Linked DNA regions of Arabidopsis thaliana. The protein of the gene in region 3 interacts with the protein of the main gene of each other region in a biochemical or structural test. Each region holds a gene or a part of one and is shown on either strand. Other genes may lie near its edges. The genes, in order: CCA1, LAF1, HY5 and HFR1.

Region 1 (5,573 bases), on a different chromosome or scaffold from region 3:
AGTAGATGGTATGTGTGAGGACACTCCAAAAAGTGAACTAGATGTCTACAGAGAGACATTTAAAATGTTCGAGGAGCAGGGTTTCGACGTTGCAGAACCTTTATCACAGGTCCTCACGCTGTTAGTTCTCCGCAAGATGAGACGTGAATCCCTCAGACAACAAAAAGGGATGGAGAAAGAGATGGCAGATGATTATAGCAAGCTGAAAAAGAGTCTGGTGAGGTGCAAAAGCAGCTTTGAAGACAAGGAGACGGCCAAATAAAAGATATGGGGTCATTTCATGGGTGTGGTTGGATTTATCCTTATAACTTCTGTTTTTATTTAATCCTTTTTTGTAACAACTCTGTTGTACTTGCTACTGCTTGCCTTTGGCTGCTTGCCTTTCTATTTATGTGATGACATAAGGAAGTAGAGTTTGCTTATTTGTGTGGTGCTTTTGTGCTTACTTATGAGTTATGAGACAACTTAAGGGTGATGGATGGGCTAAGATTACGTTTTGGAACTCTGTCGTTTGCATATATCAAGAACAAGAGCCCCTTGAGTGAAGTTCTTTCCAGGTTGGAAAAAAAAAGATTAAACAGTTTATGATTTGTTGAATAATACAGAGTCAAATGTTACAGGAAGACTATGGACAAGGAAACAAATACAAAGGCCTCAAAAGAAAAAGAAAATGTAGCAGTGGTCTTGAAAACTTAAAAACAGAGTACAAACAACAGATCAGATGAAAATAGAGTCTCATGTGGAAGCTTGAGTTTCCAACCGCATCCGTTTGGGATCTTTCTGTTCCACATGAATGATAGGATTGTTGTTGAGGATTCTACTTTCTTTGGCTTCCATGGAACATCTTTTGTATGGTTTAAAACCTGTTCTTCCTCTACTCATTAGCTTTGAAGCATCTAATCCGATTCCAAGAAATCCTGTGTTTCTCTTCTCCTCTTGATCATCAACTGGTGTTAACTGAGCTGTGAAGTTAAGATCAAGTGCCATTGGATATCTTTGTTCTTGTTGTTGTTGTTCTTCCTCTCTGTGTTCTTCTCGATATGTAAAACTTTGCGGCAATACCTCTCTGGAGAAGAGAGCTTGGAAGGCAATTCGACCCTGAATGTACAATATTTATATGAGAAAATGATTTGAAATAAAGGAAGTTGATCTTTAGTCCAAGTAAGTACCTCGTCAGACACAGACTTCCATGGATCGGTTATATTGGAGCTGATTCTACTGCGGCGTGCATTGGACTCTGAAGTTTGAGGTTTATTAGTGTCTTCATTCGTTTCTTTCACCTCACCATTGGTGCCATCCTCTTGCCTTTCTGATGCATCCGCCTCAACATCATCACTACTCGACGGAGTGTTTGAGCCACACGAGGACCGGTCAACTTGTTTTCTGTCTCCTGCTCCATCTGAACCCTTTGCATCACTCTCAGGTGTTGCAGAAGGCTGCTCATGACAAACTGGTTTACTCTTATTTTCAACATCCTCTGAGTCCAGTGAAGATCGAGCCTTTGATGCCTCGGAGTGTTCTTGCTCTCGGCTCTGCACAGAACCATGTTGTAAAGTGCTTGCTTTTGTGTACTCTACATCACATGATGGTCCAAAAGTAGATGGAGGATGACTAGTGAAACCACCTGAACTAAGAGGAGCACATAAAGGTAATAATCCATTGGCAGCCCACCAAGCACTAGCAGCTGCAACAGTGGCTGCGGCCATGGCAGCCAGATTCGGAGGTGAGTTCCCTGGAACAGGTGAGCCACCACTAGAATCGGGAGGCCAAAATGATGAGGCGAAAGTTGCGGCAGTATAAAGAGCCGGTGTTTGTAAAAGGGTTGACATTATATGATTAGGAAACGACTGATAATCTCCTGCAACTGTGTGGGGATGACTATCTGGCTCTGAAGGAGGATGTGATAGAGAACTTGTTATTGAGCTCCCCAATGGCACTAGCACAGGGATATGCATCGGATAAGTCTGAGGTCCTTGCTCATTACCGTTTTCCAGAGATTTTGCATTCAAATCTGAGTTTGACTCCTTTCTTACCCTGTTATTCTGACTTCCCTGTTATTCCCCCACGGTTTTAGTTTCATGAAAAGTACTAATCGTCTTAAAACCTCAAATAGCAATGAAAGATTGTTTTTTACCTCTTCCCGTGAAGGCAAGAACTCGCGGAAAGTGCTTGCGTTTGATGTCTCTATACAACTTTTATTCATGGAGGATGCAGCAGAGAGATACTGATGAGTGAAACAATCTGAACAGTTGTCTTCCTGCAGAGTTTTCTCTTCAGGCTTTGATTGTTGTCGATCTTCATTGGCCATCTATAAACGAAGCACACAATCTGTATTAATAACATGAGGAGCAATGTGACACACTGCAAAAAGATGCCATATGACCATGAAAATCACCTCAGGATGCGACACTTTTTCTGATCCAAGGGACTCTTTTCCATCATTCACACCCGTTTTTGACATAAGGATCGTTCCACTTCCCGTCTTTCGAGGATAAGGATTGTTTGGTTTACGCTTAGGCCGTGGAGGAGGAATAGCTATGTCTAGCGCTTGACCCATAGCTACACCTTTAGCTTCAGCCTCTTTCTCTACCTGAGAGAGATGAGAGTAGTTTTGTTACCCTCTAAACAAACGTAAACAAACAAAAATCTAATGACACTAACAAGTTTAAATGACAGAACTGGAAAATCAAAAATGGTTTACCTCTATGGCTTATCACAAGGAACATTCAAAAATTTCTAGCACTCAGCCCACTTTTGCCACTACCTCAGAATCGGTAAGAAGACACAAGTTTATCTGAAGAATCTAAAGAAACTAACATTCTTCTGAAGAATCTATGTACATGTTTGTGGATTAACAAGATATAGGCATAAACAAAAGAAAACGATTACATCTCGTCATTTCTCCAACTATTTTAAGACTTATTGCTCATTACTAAACTCTAAAAACGTAATCTATCTATCTCCTGACTAAGAAGCAAAAGAAGCAGAAAACTTGCCTGGCTTTCAATAAGTCTTAAGCATTAAGCCAATGAAGATGAGAACATCATTTCAAAATTAACCGATTTTACCTTGGAGAAAAATTTCTGAGCGTGACTTCTTATCTGGACAGCAGTTTTTGTTGCTACATGTTCTGTCCAAATGAAAAAAAGCAAATCAGTTTGAAGACAAACCTCTGCAAACACAAAAAATAAGACATATAAAGGGAAATAAAAATCAACCTTCAATCTTCTGCCATGCTCTACCATAAAGCCTCAAAGCTTCAATGAATCTATTATGTTCTTCCTCAGTCCACCTTTCACGTTGCTTTGTTATCGTATATGGCTTCCGAGTCTATATCAAGTTTCATTAAAATTCTCAATCTTTGACACCTAAAACAATCATCTTCCCCCTAAAATTTAGTTTAATTTACCTTAATAACCAGATCTTCTCCAGACGAATTTGTCTCCATCACTAAGCTCCTCTACACAACTTCAGATCTTCTCTTTACAAAATTCCACTAATCCACAAAACAAAAAACAATCAAGTCAAGTTATTCATCAAACAATAAGAAAGACCATGACAATAAATCAATCTTAAGTACCTTTAGAGAGATGATTCAATGAAAGAAACAAAATCAGCTTGGATTCGATAAAGATTCCATTTTTAATTCCAGATTTCGTTGGATAAGAAAACAGTAAGAAATCGAGAAGAAGAAGAAGAAGAAGTGATTTGCTTTTGATCAATGAAACAAAGAAAAGAGACCAGAAGCTACGGAAATGGAGAAATCTCAGCCACTATAATTATCTTTAACCTCAAACTTTTTAATTTATTTATTTCGAGGCTACAAAAGAAACTGCCATATGTCAACATACTAGTGGCTGAAGAGATGATTCAGCTTTTGTTCAAGTTACATTCTTGTCCATCTTAACATCAACTTGTTCACAACCTTCTTTGTATTCTAGGCCACGAGTTCCGGGACTACCTGAAAGGTTAAAAAGGTCAATTCGTTATAATATCTTGATCTAGTGGGACCTACTTAAGATCGTTAATCTCTCCCACCAGTTTGTCGACACGTGTCTGATACACTAGAAACATCAGTGGACCCGGGAATCTAGACGACTACTTCACCAACAATCGAACGCGCATTCTCGTGCGGTTCACTACACGCGCTATTCTCACACTCTAATGGACCTAAACTTATTTGGGCCATAGTTTTATATTGGGCTTATTTTTTTTAGACCCATAAGGTTTTGTTCTTTTAGCATAAGGCCCATATCGTTATTCAACAGTTCAGCATTAAGCTAAGCTAACCATGCATGAAGGGTAGAAGACTAAATGGGGACAAAGTTTGAAATTTTGGAAAATGAAACAAAACATCTCATATATAGTCTTGAGGAATTTACAACACTTTGACATAAATGGATGATACTTTGAGCTAAAAAAGACCAGAGACAGAGAGAGAGAAAGGATGAAAATTATTTAGTTACAAGAAGGAAAGATTGAAGGAAGGACGTGGCCTTTGTGTTAGATTCTTTTGATATCCTTCATTCCAATTCATGAATGGCCTCAAAAAGGCTCTTCTTCTTCTTCTTCCTCCTTTGATTCAGCTGCTCCCTAATATGTCTTTGTATGTGCTCTTGACCTTCTCAAACAAAGCCTCCCTGAAACAGATAACAAACAATTTCCTCGAGAATTTGAGTCTTCCATTCTCAGTATTACATGCAACCAAACACAGAGTTAAAGAGAGAATTGGTTAACCTGTCTGGTTTGAAGACCAGGTTCTTGTAAGTGAACCACTGCCATAGAAAAACCAAATGTTAATAAGGTCCATCACACAATTGAAACAAACTACACACGTCTTTTAAGATTGAAACACTAGCGAGAAGCAGCAATCAATTTCTGATATCATATCTCCATATGAATTGCAGATGTTCGGATTCTAAATTCAGAGAACTAATCCTAAATCCAAAAGTGAAGTGATGAATCATCTATATCCTCAAAACAGGTTCATGAGAGCTTTGGTTCAAGTGATACAAAGAGAAGAAGAAACTCACTCCTGTGTAACCGATGCCTACAAGTTCAAGAACACCAGGAACCAATGGAAGCCTATCGATTGCCTGTTTCACAATAACAAATTTTGGAATCAAATAAAGGAAATTTAACACTAGGGTTTTAAGAAGAAAGTAGTATTCTTCTACTCACCGAAATCATTCCAGCAGAACCCCAAAGAGCCACTACACCAGCAAAGGCAAGAGAACCAATAGCGTACTTGTCATCCACTTTCTCCCACTTCAATCCAAACAACCAAATTCAGTACATGTAACCCAGAAGCAAGAGGTAGAATCATCATTGTATAAATAAAGTAAGAGTATTTACAGCTTCTTGAGCAGTCTTGACGATTTCAGGTAACTCAGTAGTCTCAGCTTCGGTAGTAGTGGCAGGAGCTTCACCAACTTCAGTAGTAGCTCTCGTCACAACGTTCCTCACAATCTTCCGACCTAAAAACCAAAACCCATTTCGAAAGTTTGAAACTTTAAACTCGAAATTAAAAGTGAAAAGAAAAATCTTCAGATTTATGGAAAACGAACAGTAAG
Region 2 (3,408 bases), on a different chromosome or scaffold from region 3:
GTTCCTGACCAGAACAAGAGTTTTGAACTTTACAGTGGGTGTACAGCTTCATAGTGTTCTTCTTCCCAGGAGGATCAACAAATTTGAAAAGCGGATTGCTTCCGTGGCACGCAATGCTTGGCCTGTTTGTTTACATACTTGCTGTCGGGAATGCAGCTTTAGGGTTTCTGGAAAAGCTGACTTTCTTGGAGAATGGAGGGCTTGACAAGTATGGATCCGAAGCATTTCTTATCAACTTCACGGCCATTATCACTATTCTCTTTGGTGCCTTTGTGGTACTCACTGCTTCTGCTGAGTCTCCTTCTCCTTCTCCTTCCGTCTCCAATGATGATAGTGTTGACTTCAGTTATTCTGCTATATAAAACACTTTCTACATTCCACGTTACATCTGTATCGCCCCTTGTACTCTCAAAACTCCATTTATGTATGATGCATTTGTAGCGAAAAGCTTTGTGTGTTACGGCTTTGCTACTTCTGGTGTGTAAAATCTTCAATGATATTGATGAATCTTTTAAATCATTTTCTTTTCTTTTCTTTTCTTTCATATTGCCATTCCTTTAACCATATATGCTATTTGCCTTATTGGTGTCAAAGCATTTAAGACAAAACAAAAAACAAAACATTTTTTTTCCGGTTTTGCCTTAGAAATTTGATTTACATTACAATAAACGCAATTTACGTCGTTGTTGATGGAGAAAAGAATTCAGCAGAAGAATTACAATCTGAAGCCTCTCTATAAATATGATGCTCCTGCTTCTTACATTTGGAACCAAACACAATGTCGTTAAGAGTCCAGTTGCTGTTGTTGATCATCATTTCGTTGTAATGGAACTGATCAACATCACCCATTTCTTCATAAGCTGAGAGAGTCTCTTCGACATTTGGAGCTTGACTGTGCTTAGAGTCGGTAAACTCAGAGGAATAATCGGTGTGGGGATATGAAGAAGAAAGCCATTCAGAGAAGAAAAGCCTTGGAATCTCAGGAGCAGAAGAACATTGATGGCTGTTATTTCCGTTGCTTTCTTGTGAGGGAGATGAAGATTTGTTCTCTAGAAGTCTCTGGAAGGAGAACACGTGATTCGAGATCAAGGTTTCCGGATTTCTTTTTCCACAAGCAACAAGTGATGATGATGAAGACGAAGGAGGGGAAATAGATTTTGCATCTTGTAAGCTCTGAGACTTGAGCCATTTCTTTTTCAAATGAGAGTGCCAATAGTTCTTTATCTCATTGTCTGTTCTTCCCGGTAAGAATTTAGCTATTTGCGACCACCTAATTACACCTAAATCATTAGTCTCTCTATAACTAGCATCTGCTAAAACAATAGGGTTAGGTCTTAGAGATACACTTACTTGTTACCCAAGGAAGAATGAAACGTCAAGATAGTCTCTTCTTCTTCTGCACTAATCATATCCCTCTTTAACCCTGGTCTTAGGTAATTAATCCATCTTAATCTGCAGCTCTTCCCATTCCTTTGTAACCCTATCAAATTAAATCCCAACAACAATTATCAAAGTTGACTCAGTTTGAGAAACTAAAAACTAATAAAGAAGAAGATGAAAGAGAGACCAGCTTTGATGGGAACAGTGGTCCAGCAAGAATGGCCATAAGAGAGGATGAAGCTCCTTAGCTTCTCGTCTTCTTCAGGTGACCATAACCCTTTCCTATGTCTCTCTCCATATTTCGTCTTCGCCATTTCTCTTTAGTCAGCTGTCTGTCCTGATACAAGAAAACATGTCTCAATACTATATATGGTGATTGAGACAACATATATATCACCAAACGTCCACAGATAGAGCCTACATACTTGGTGTTAAGAAATGACCAAATGGGCCTGCTTAGAGTAAATGACAAATGACATATATATTTCTATTTTTATGAAAATTTGGGATATAATTTATGTGTTAATTTCTTATGAGTATACTGTATGCATTTGTATAAGCAGTGAGGAGAAAAGTCATAATGGAATATGTAAGGATTAATTAGGTGTCAAAAGTCTGCTTGGATAAATTTAAATTATTGATATAATGTTCCAACTTAAAATAAATTAGCAATTTTCAGTATATATAAGATTTGAGATTCCTACCTATAAAAAAAAAAAAAAAGAAGAATCTTTGCTTGTTTTTGTTCTTTCACTTTGTTTTCTTATTGTTTGTTTTCCTTATATTTACTTCATTTATAATGGACGATGCCTTAAGAATTTACACACTAATCAGATAACATCTTCATATCCAAAAATCTCTAAAATGTCGGCAAGAATTTTATATTAACGACTTCTTTAATTTATGTTTAAATCGCGTCAATGAGTTTTTTGGTTAGAAACGATCATCCGGGTGGAATAATCTGTCTGATTCAATCCAATGATTGTGAATAATGAAGTAATGATTATAGAGAATCATCCAATCTGTTAATCTTTTCGTAAAGCATCATTAGCAAGCAGACAAATTGCATTTGCTAATACAAGTACTTGAAATAATTATTATATGATTTGAGAGCTCTTTTTCTCTTAATTATAAAATTTTGTAGTGAAGTCAACATTGAGCTCCTATTTGCTGCTAGTAATTATTTCATATTTTTTCCTCTCACGATGTTTTTCTTACATTCACACTGACAAGTGGACCAATAATAAGAGTTATTTGAGGAATATTGTGAATTTCAACAATTTGAATTCCTTCTGTCCCGATCGAAATGGCCTGTCCCAATTTTAAAAATACTCTGATTTTGTTTTTTACTTGTTGGCTCTTTTGGCCTGTGGAAAATGACGAGTAAAGAAAATTGAGAGGGAAACAATAAAAAAGTGTCTACCTTGTCTTGGTCGTCTTGATAACATAATATAATTTGCCGTCAAACTAATCCCCAATGAAACACGACTAATAAATTTTATACATCTAATGTTATGATGACTTAATCCTTAGCCCTCGGAGAATAAATTTTATACATCTAATGTTATGATAACTAGGATACTTTAGATTGTTCGTCTACAACAAAACTTCTCCTCCTTCGACCATTAGGCCTTGTGGTATGTTGATAAAACTTTATGAAATATGTTGACAAAGAAGGTTAAACATGGCTTAGTTTTATGCACCAAAATAAAAACATCATTCAACATTGAATGAAACACATGTTTTACGGTTAGAGAAGACAGGCGTTAGTCAAACAATGACAAATGCTTTTAAAAATGAGATACAATAATCTTTGTTTTTTGTGCTGACACTTTGAACCGGTTCTACATAAAAGCCAACAAGTCTATAATGCAAAAAACCCAACTCGCATCATTGGAAAACCCCATCTCTAATCCGGTAGCTACAGCTCTCTACCGTACCTAAGTAACTTACCCATCTGATAGGTTCCTTGTTCTTGAACACACCGAGTCGAAATCACGAACTAATCATGTTGAAATGGAATCTGGA
Region 3 (3,801 bases):
ATTGATAGAATCTGAGTATCCTCAAAAGCATGAGAAATAATGTCAAACAATCCATAGTACACTAGCAACTAGCAATAGATGAAGATGAGATCCACGAAAAATCTAAAATAGAAAACAAAGAATCAGAAAGCATACAACAGGTAAAGAAATGTACGATTTTGTCCATGAAATTCGGTTGTGGCAACCCGATTCTAAGAAGGGAGCAGCAAGTTCAAGGTAGCAGTGACAGAAAACAATGTCTGGATTCCATGGATTTTAGAAAAAGGAAAGCAAAAGTGTAAGAAAACACTTACATGATTGCTCATCTCTCGAGCTTGACAAGCTTTGGCTGTAAAAGATCGACCCTACCCTCTTTGTCCGATTTCCGCATAATATGATCAACGGCATCTTCGTTTACAAATCCATGGCGACTTGTCTGTAAGAAATCGGGAGGGATAGGGGCAAAAAGGAAAAAAAAAAGAGTAAAGATTCCACTATCCCAGAATTTGTTTGGGACTTTGAACTGCGGGAATCGAAAACGCAACCTTTCTACTACAGTGTCACAATGTCATATCATAGAACAAAAATTAGCTTATTTTTGTTATAAAACAACATTATGTTTCAATTAAGAGAAATCTAAGACTACAATAAGAGAACTTGGTCTACAATTGCAATATTAGCTCTCACATCCCATATAATTTTAACATGATAATTATTGATACAATTCTCTGTAAATTTTATCCACAAAAATATAACACAAGAAGAAGAAGGAGATCAAAGGCTTGCATCAGCATTAGAACCACCACCACCTCCTCTCTTGTTTCCTGTTGTGTTCTTCAGAATCTACACCACATAAAAAACATAACAACTCAAAAGACTTTATTACCACACACACACATAGAGATCCAACTTTGCAATCTCATCTTCTCCATTCATATAGAACAAAATGAGTGAGCATTTCAAGAACCATTGAAGAATTTACATGCCTTTTGAGAGAATATGCGAGTGAATGACCATTTCAAGAACCTACATGCCTTCTGAGAATTAATCTAAAGCTTAAGTTAGCTTCTTAGATCCTTTTAACTAACTAAACTAATTATTGGTCAATCCTAGACTCGTAAATGTGATAAACCAGTACTGTGATATATCAAAAAACAAATGGCAAAAGCATTGACGTTGCAGGTTAAGTCAACAGTAAGATCGACAAAACGTACATGTCTAAGCATCTGGTTCTCGTTCTGAAGAGTAGAGAGTCGCTCTTCAAGTTCAGAGTTTTTGTTCTCCAAGTCTTTCACTCTGTTTTCCAACTCGCTCAAGTAAGCCTTTTTCCTCTCTCTTGCTTGCTGAGCTGAAACTCTGTTCCTCAACAACCTTTTCACCACAAAATTACCAAACAACCCCATCACGCAACCGTTATTTAACATAATCACCTTCCATATAAAGGGTAAAAATGTAAATTCAATGAATAGAGAAAAAGACACCTCTTCAGCCGCTTGTTCTCTTTCTCCGCCGGTGTCCTCCCTCGCTTCCTTTGACTTTCTCCGACAGTCGCCTGTGTCCGCTCCTGACCGGTCGCCGATCCAGATTCTCTACCGGAAGTTTCTTTTCCGACAGCTTCTCCTCCAAACTCCGGCACTCGCCGTATCTCCTCATCGCTTTCAATTCCTTTAAAACATAAAAGAGACTTTAGACGAAAAGTTTCAAACTTTTTAAATACAATAAAAAATTGCAGATCTTCTGGGGGAGACTAAAAGTTGTGAATCTAGATGTGAATCAATGGTGATACAAAATCTAGATGTGAATTTACTAGATATCCAATGCATGAGAATGAAAATCAATGAGATCACTCGTTGGGAGAAGATATGAAAATAAAACAATCGACAATTTTTGTTTACCTTCTTTGATCTCCAAATGTGGAGCAGAGCTTGATGACCTCTCGCTGCTTGATGGTAAAGAGCTTGCAGCTAAAGAGCTAGTCGCTTGTTCCTGCATTTTTCTTACTCTTTGAAGATCGATCAGGCGAGAGAGAGAGGGAAAGATTTGTTGTCTTAGTAGCGAAGCTGGTGAAAAGGATAAAGAGGAAAAGAGCGGGACTTGGGATTTACAGAAGAACTTGGAAAGAATCTAATTGCGAGACATTTTGGGAAGGAATAGATTACTCTGGCTACCGCCGTCAGATCTCTGAAGAATCGAACGGATATCGAGAGTGAATCGTGGAGAAAGGTGAGCCTTGAGGAAATACAAGGATCCAAAGGCAATTGAGATTGGAACGTGGGTGGATTTTAGCCGTTAGATCTGGTTAGCATCTTACGGTGAATAATGGATAGGGGAGCTAATTGGGTGGGCCCCATTCCTGTCCTTGGACAGAAAAGTTTGGTCTGAGTTCTTTCATTCTGTCACATGGCCCACGCCTAGGGCAGTGCTTTCAAAAGTGTCGTGAAAGTAATTTATTTTATTTTTGGTGATTTGTTTTTGTCATGCATTAAAATTAAACTTTATAGCCGCCATAAACCAAACAAAGTTGAAACGGTTTTCTACAAGACACAATCTCAGCAAGGAAATAACTAAAAACTGAATACAAGATATCCTAAAATTTCATAGTCCAACATATCCAGCCACACCATTGGACAGAATCTACTACTATAAACACTCCTCGTATCACCAAAAAAACTTGTCCTTGACGACAATGTTGATGAGTTTCTGAGAATCAAGTATACAAATCATTGCCATCTCAACGTTAACATTAGATCAAACCGGAGCTTGATATGGAGCTCGCTTATCTGGAACTCCGTCTTCTGCTCTTTTATCTTCGAACCACTTCAAAACTCGCTTCCTTGGAAGATTGGTCACTTGAACAATGCTGCTAACCACAGCATTCTATTCACAGCATCATCAAACATGATCATATGTGAGATAGAGCATTCAAGTAACATAGAAATTGATTCAAATGTAAAAGGAGAATCCTTACAGTGGGTCGTTTTGATCTTCTGTAAACTTTCTCTAGCGTTTCAATGTGAGCTTTCTTCACTCTTTTCTGAGCAGACCATCTCTGTTGCATCACATGAACTGCTTCATCTTTTACTTTTTCCTTAGGTTCGACCACAACATCTTCAGCTGATAATGATTCCACAGGACTTGGATCAGGTGAGGAGTTCTCAGGTGCTGCTACTGGCGGTTTTTCATCTGGTAGTGTAGCACTTAGCATTAGCAGCTTTGGAGGCGGGTCACGAAGCAATTCAAGAACATAAGCCCTGTCAAGACAAACCTCAGCTGCCAGATTTTTAATCTACAGATCACAACAAAACCATCCGTTATCAATTATGCATTTGAAAACCAGAGAACTACTTGTTCTTTGTCAACTCTTAAACAATTCGTAAGCAAAATCTCCAAAGCAGACACTAACTCAAGCACTATGCTTTACACAATGTATTCAACATCACTTCAACACTGAACTAAAACTTACACTAGTTTTACGACGCCCAGCTTTCAATGCATAAGCCAGTCTTTTAAGCTGCCAATTCTTCAGCTTAGTCGGTCTTTCATCTTCTTCGCTGTCATCATCATCATCATCATTATCATCATCATCATTATCATCATCATCATTATCAACATCAACATCAACATCACCAGTGACTGAACCAAACAAGTCGATGTCATCAACATCGTCACCAACACCCAATGCTCGAGCTAACTCATCGGCTAATGCCTCTAACTCTTCCTCACTTATCTCCTCATCATCCGAGTTATCATTCTTCAAATCTTCTTCTAAAAGATTAAACAATGCCTCAAATGGATCCTCCTCCTCCTCACCTCCTCCATTAT
Region 4 (4,683 bases), on a different chromosome or scaffold from region 3:
GACATTGTTTTTCACTAAAGCCAAGCCTTATTGAGACAAAAGGATATGTATTTGTAAAATAATACGTATATAAGTGTGCGCCTGTGTCTGTGCGTGTAGAATTTTTCTTTTTTTATATATAAATATGAATTGTGTCTCGAGTTTCGGACGTAATATTTCTTGTGTGTGTATTTACCTAGCTCAGAAAACAAAAGAAAAGAGATTATTACTCACAAGTCACAACTTTAAAACAGAAAACATTTTGAATTTTCCACAAAAAAATGAATATATCAACTGTGGAAAAGCGATGTGTAAACACAAAACGCAAATCAATAATTGATGTGTAAGAAAGTGATTAATAATTCTCGAAGTCAAGTTTCCTCATTTCTTCTTTTGATCTTTTCTCATACATCCGGCCCTATATTTGGCAGAGCCACATCCTAACTTCTAAGTAACATGCAGTGTGCAGAGGTAAGTTAATGTTACTTTTTGTACATTAACATTATCATAGTGTATGACCCACTGGTCCTGAATTTGAGATGCTGAAGATAAAGCTAGTTGGGATGCATGTAACCAAGTGTAAACGTTTGAGACGCTTAAGAATCAGGGAAATCTTGTTCCTACGTTCAATGCTCTTATAAGCATGTCTCAATATATTTTACAAAATATCAGATAAATGAAAAAATTGTTACATGCAAGAATTTATACAAAAAGTTTTAACTTATTGATTATTATTAATATACAAAACCACCCGGAAAAAAAAGTATATGACACAAATGGTTCACACAAACTGTCCTAATTTGGAACTCTTTTCTCTCTTAATTAGTCAACGATCATTTCACATAAACTTTTATCGAGCTACTTACTTATCATAGTCTTCTCATCGCATGGGAAGAAAAATCCAAGAAACTTGGGAAATAAGGAACCAAACCGTGAAGAGACTGAGGAGAAGAAGCTGGTGATGATGTTGTAAGAAATAGAGATTGACTAGATGAATGTGGGAATGAAATATTAGTAAACGGTGGTAATGGCCAATTTAACGCCGGAATTAGCGGCGATGGCATCATGTGATTCGCCGGATTTAGGCCGTGAGCCGAAGCCATTGCCGTCAGCATGTGGTTGTGCATTCCAAATCCTAATGTCGCCGGAAGAAAATAAGGATTCACCCCCACTGTTGACATCATCTGCAATTATAACATCAACTTTGATTACAACTTAGTTTCTGAATATAAATAGCACATATACATATTCGAATGATCAAAATGGGTACATAGTTCTATAAAATATAAAACATTTAGTTGGCACTAAATAATCACATGAAAAGAGATGAATTCGAAATATTAAAGAAATTCTATAGACTTCACCATCTAGGTTATCTACTGCCTACTATATATCATTCCATTTTTTTCGTCACTAAACACCAAAAAGTGGCTATATTTGTTTGATCAATTTGAAACCCATATTGTAAAACAATAATCCATATCTCATAAGTTGGCGAGTCAGATCGAATACCAAGAACAGTTTATGTCAACTAGTTAAATTAACCAAAAAAAAACTCAGACTATTAGATAAACACTTAAAACCTCAAGCCTCAATAATTCAAATATATGGAAGAAGAACACTGAATAAAGTGTGAAATAAAAATAGTGAATAAAGTTAAATATAGACCTGAAGTTGAAGTTGAAGGTTTTTCATATACTCTATGGTCTTGTCGAGAACCGAAACCTTGTCCGTCTGAAAACCGTAAAAAAGCACCACCCGTTATCAGAATTGGAAACTTAAGGCAAGATTTCTTCATATATGCAACGGAAGTAGCGGAAACTTATACGGAAAAGACTAGACACTCAATAGTTAAATTGAAACATTATATAGAAGGATCTATATACACACCAACCTTGTGACAATTAGGTACGAGTTGCTGTAGCTTACGCATCTTATTACTCATCTTCTCGTCTCTTCTTCTTCTCTTGGAACCTTTTCGAGTAACTGAAGGAACTTCTCTTGTAAACTCCTCCGATTCATCCTAAATTAATTAATTTTATTTATAGAAAGAAAAAATTAAAAACAGTGAAAAATGATAATACATAAGGTAACATGAAAATATATCTATGTATCGACTTACATCACTACTTAAGACCTGGATACGACGTTTTTTGGGGTTCTCATGTTTGTTTCTCAGATAAAATCGATGATCTGATCTCTCTGAAAAATCTTTAATATGATGATGATCATCAGTTTCAGAATGTTCATCAGGGACAACAACCAATAAATCCTCCTTCGCATTTTCTACTTCTTTATGAATCTCTGGAACAATCTGAAGATAATTATCAGTTTGATCATGATCAAAGTAGCCGTAGCCCCATTTTAGACCGTTGATTAGACGATCTTCATCACTTCTTGCTCTTTCTGACATCATGCCCTGATCTTTCACAGCAAGTGATCCGACGTCGTTTCTCCATCCCAATTCCATGAAAGCTTGATTATTCGACCTGCCAAGAAAAAAGTAGTAAACTATTAGGGTTTACGATACAAATCATTGATAAATTATTAAAGAAATAAATAAAGAGAATAACAAGGCAAGAAACCTAAACTCTGAAACCTCCTGTTTAATTATACTTACATGTTAGTTAAAGAGATATCGGAGATGAAAAGTTTGGAGAAGTGTTTTTTCTTTAGGGATTTCAGCTTTGTCCGAGAAAATGGTATCCCATACGCTTATGTTATAAGAGCGATCGGATCAGATAGATGGTATAGTTGTCAGCTACATTGGTGACCCACTTATATTGTGCCACGTTTCAAAGTATGTGTGGTTCGTTTGTTGCGTACACCGACAACAATAAAACAATTCGGCTAGATTCTAACATACAGCTACACGAGGTTATTATAGACATATTGATGTCATTTGAGTTCTTTGGAAACAATACTTTTTTGGATTCACAACAAACATTGTAATGAAAATATTGTTTTACTAAAATAATTAATACAGTAATTAAATTAGTTTTTATTTTGGAAAAGTATTGTCAAATAATTCCATTATCACAAATTCACAATGTACTTAAATGGATTATTATTCTGCTTATTGTTTTTATGATTCTATACGTAATTGTCCCAAAACTACGTCATAGTAGCATATATCGACTTTAGAGTAATCTTGAAATTTTGCACAGAAAGATAAAAGTAATCTTGATTAATCAATAACGTCACTAGATTCACTACCACTTTGACACATGAACATAGAGATAAATTTATCTTTGTACGTATAGAATGTATTCATTTATATATTGAGATTTGAGAGACAGTTTAATAGTATTTCTTAACCAAGAACTGTAATGCACAACGGGTAGGGCCATTTTTATCCGTTTAATTATTTTTCCCGTAATCTTATCGTTTATCATTGAATACTCGTCATTAAGCTTTATCTTTATATATATATAAAACAATGTAAAATATCGGATGTCTATTTGTTTATTTTTGGTCAGATCATCTCTAAATATAAAAACAAAAAGATGACGTCTCCGTTTGGAAAAAAAAAGGTTGACTACCACAAGTTTCATAATATAATCGACAAAAAAATATCGTCTGTAACAACGATAAGATTATTCGATCTCCCAATTGGTAAATTCGTTATTATGAAAGGCTTACAAAATTCAGTAACCAGCAATCATAATAATTTCAGAGTTATGATACTAGAGTTCACTTTTTTGTGCAATAATATAATGGTCGATTATTTCCAGCCTGAGAATGCATTTCATTTCATGACCATTTATGGATTCCTGAAAAAAGAATTCATTTAGGGTTTTATCCAAAATCCCACGTGGGTTGTGGGCTCTAAACCAATCCTATAACGAATCAGTTTTTTTTGTTTTCTGTAACCCCACGACACATTTATTGGAATTTTAGAGTCACGTCATCATCAACCATACACCGAGCAGGTGCGATGGTCCACATTATTACTATCTTTGATAAAAAAGGTCCACACTATTTTCCTTAATTAAAAAAAACTCCAATAATTACAACATATTCTGAATAAACAAAAATGACCTGGTTACTAAATATCAACAATCAAAAAAAAAAAAAAACAGTATCAAATTCTAATTTCGAATTAGTAGAACAAAAATACTAATTATTATTATTCAATTGACTAATGAATGTTAACTTTGTAGCGTTGAATCAAATGGGCCTGAAAAAAATCGAAAAAGAGAGAGAGAGAGGAAGAAGAAAAGGCGTGTTCACGTGATGCCCTCGTGATGGACATGGTGCTATGTCTGACACTTGGGTACTTTATATTTTGTTGGTGTCTTAGCGAGCGACGAAGCAAAACCACAGCCACTACATAGGTTTCCAATCTCCTTCACGACAACGACCTCTCGGAATATACGTTCCAATCTACAACTTCCCACTGTTCAATCTATTTGATATTATGGAAAAACTTTGCATTATTGATTCTTATTTTAATATTTTTCTCTTGTTCCCACCGTTTTGGTTGGAATCATATACTATACGAAGTACTATTTGTGTATCTAGTGGTTGATTGACGATTTTTATTTTTGTTGTACATTAAATGCAGCATCTATGATCTATCTATCTTCTTCTTTTTTTGCCAAATAGAACGTTATCTTTACTGGGCTTTTAGGTTAGCCCATGTAATGTTATTAACCCAAATATGAATTTATTAAGGGCCCATCAATGAGGAGTGAAACATGT

What was found.
Region 1: the proteins of HY5 (region 3) and CCA1 form a complex in vitro, tested with the Arabidopsis thaliana proteins (one study listed by BioGRID).
Region 2: the proteins of HY5 (region 3) and LAF1 form a complex in vitro, tested with the Arabidopsis thaliana proteins (2 studies listed by BioGRID).
Region 4: the proteins of HY5 (region 3) and HFR1 form a complex in vitro, tested with the Arabidopsis thaliana proteins (one study listed by BioGRID).

Annotation. Positions count from the first base shown.
Region 1 is NC_003071.7:19,243,880-19,249,452, reverse strand, and holds CCA1 (circadian clock associated 1), read right to left. Parts: upstream 3,863-5,573; 5' UTR 3,581-3,862; intron 3,497-3,580; 5' UTR 3,449-3,496; coding exon 3,410-3,448; intron 3,331-3,409; coding exon 3,219-3,330; intron 3,131-3,218; coding exon 3,069-3,130; exon of another isoform or gene 2,702-3,068; intron 2,591-2,701; coding exon 2,396-2,590; intron 2,309-2,395; coding exon 2,135-2,308; intron 2,052-2,134; coding exon 1,170-2,051; intron 1,099-1,169; coding exon 736-1,098; 3' UTR 538-735; downstream 1-537. Other genes in the region: DUF4 (hypothetical protein (DOMAIN OF UNKNOWN FUNCTION 724 4)), read left to right, coding at 1-262; PSI-P (photosystem I P subunit), read right to left, coding at 4,583-4,640, 4,738-4,775, 5,034-5,096, 5,182-5,268, 5,356-5,477, 5,568-5,573. UniProt on the Arabidopsis thaliana protein: Transcription factor involved in the circadian clock and in the phytochrome regulation. Binds to the promoter regions of APRR1/TOC1 and TCP21/CHE to repress their transcription. Binds to the promoter regions of CAB2A and CAB2B to promote their transcription.
Region 2 is NC_003075.7:13,050,841-13,054,248, reverse strand, and holds LAF1 (myb domain protein 18), read right to left. Parts: upstream 1,747-3,408; 5' UTR 1,695-1,746; coding exon 1,568-1,694; intron 1,522-1,567; exon of another isoform or gene 1,481-1,521; coding exon 1,351-1,480; intron 1,271-1,350; coding exon 676-1,270; 3' UTR 507-675; downstream 1-506. Other genes in the region: ACYB-2 (Cytochrome b561/ferric reductase transmembrane protein family), read left to right, coding at 36-362; AT4G25550 (Cleavage/polyadenylation specificity factor, 25kDa subunit), read right to left, coding at 3,376-3,408. UniProt on the Arabidopsis thaliana protein: Transcription factor that promotes photomorphogenesis in the light by participating in the transmission of phytochrome A (phyA) signals to downstream responses. Probably acts by activating expression of light-induced genes.
Region 3 is NC_003076.8:3,592,830-3,596,630, forward strand, and holds HY5 (Basic-leucine zipper (bZIP) transcription factor family protein), read right to left. Parts: upstream 2,175-3,801; 5' UTR 1,972-2,174; coding exon 1,875-1,971; intron 1,645-1,874; coding exon 1,461-1,644; intron 1,351-1,460; coding exon 1,089-1,350; 3' UTR 966-1,088; intron 823-965; coding exon of another isoform or gene 754-822; 3' UTR 532-753; downstream 1-531. Other genes in the region: OCP3 (overexpressor of cationic peroxidase 3), read right to left, coding at 2,728-2,856, 2,948-3,265, 3,443-3,801.
Region 4 is NC_003070.9:465,085-469,767, forward strand, and holds HFR1 (basic helix-loop-helix (bHLH) DNA-binding superfamily protein), read right to left. Parts: upstream 2,797-4,683; 5' UTR 2,602-2,796; coding exon 2,600-2,601; exon of another isoform or gene 2,469-2,599; coding exon 2,102-2,468; intron 2,003-2,101; coding exon 1,874-2,002; intron 1,714-1,873; coding exon 1,648-1,713; intron 1,164-1,647; coding exon 849-1,163; 3' UTR 532-848; downstream 1-531. UniProt on the Arabidopsis thaliana protein: Atypical bHLH transcription factor that regulates photomorphogenesis through modulation of phytochrome (e.g. PHYA) and cryptochrome signalings. Suppresses the transcriptional regulation activity of PIF4 by forming non-DNA-binding heterodimer.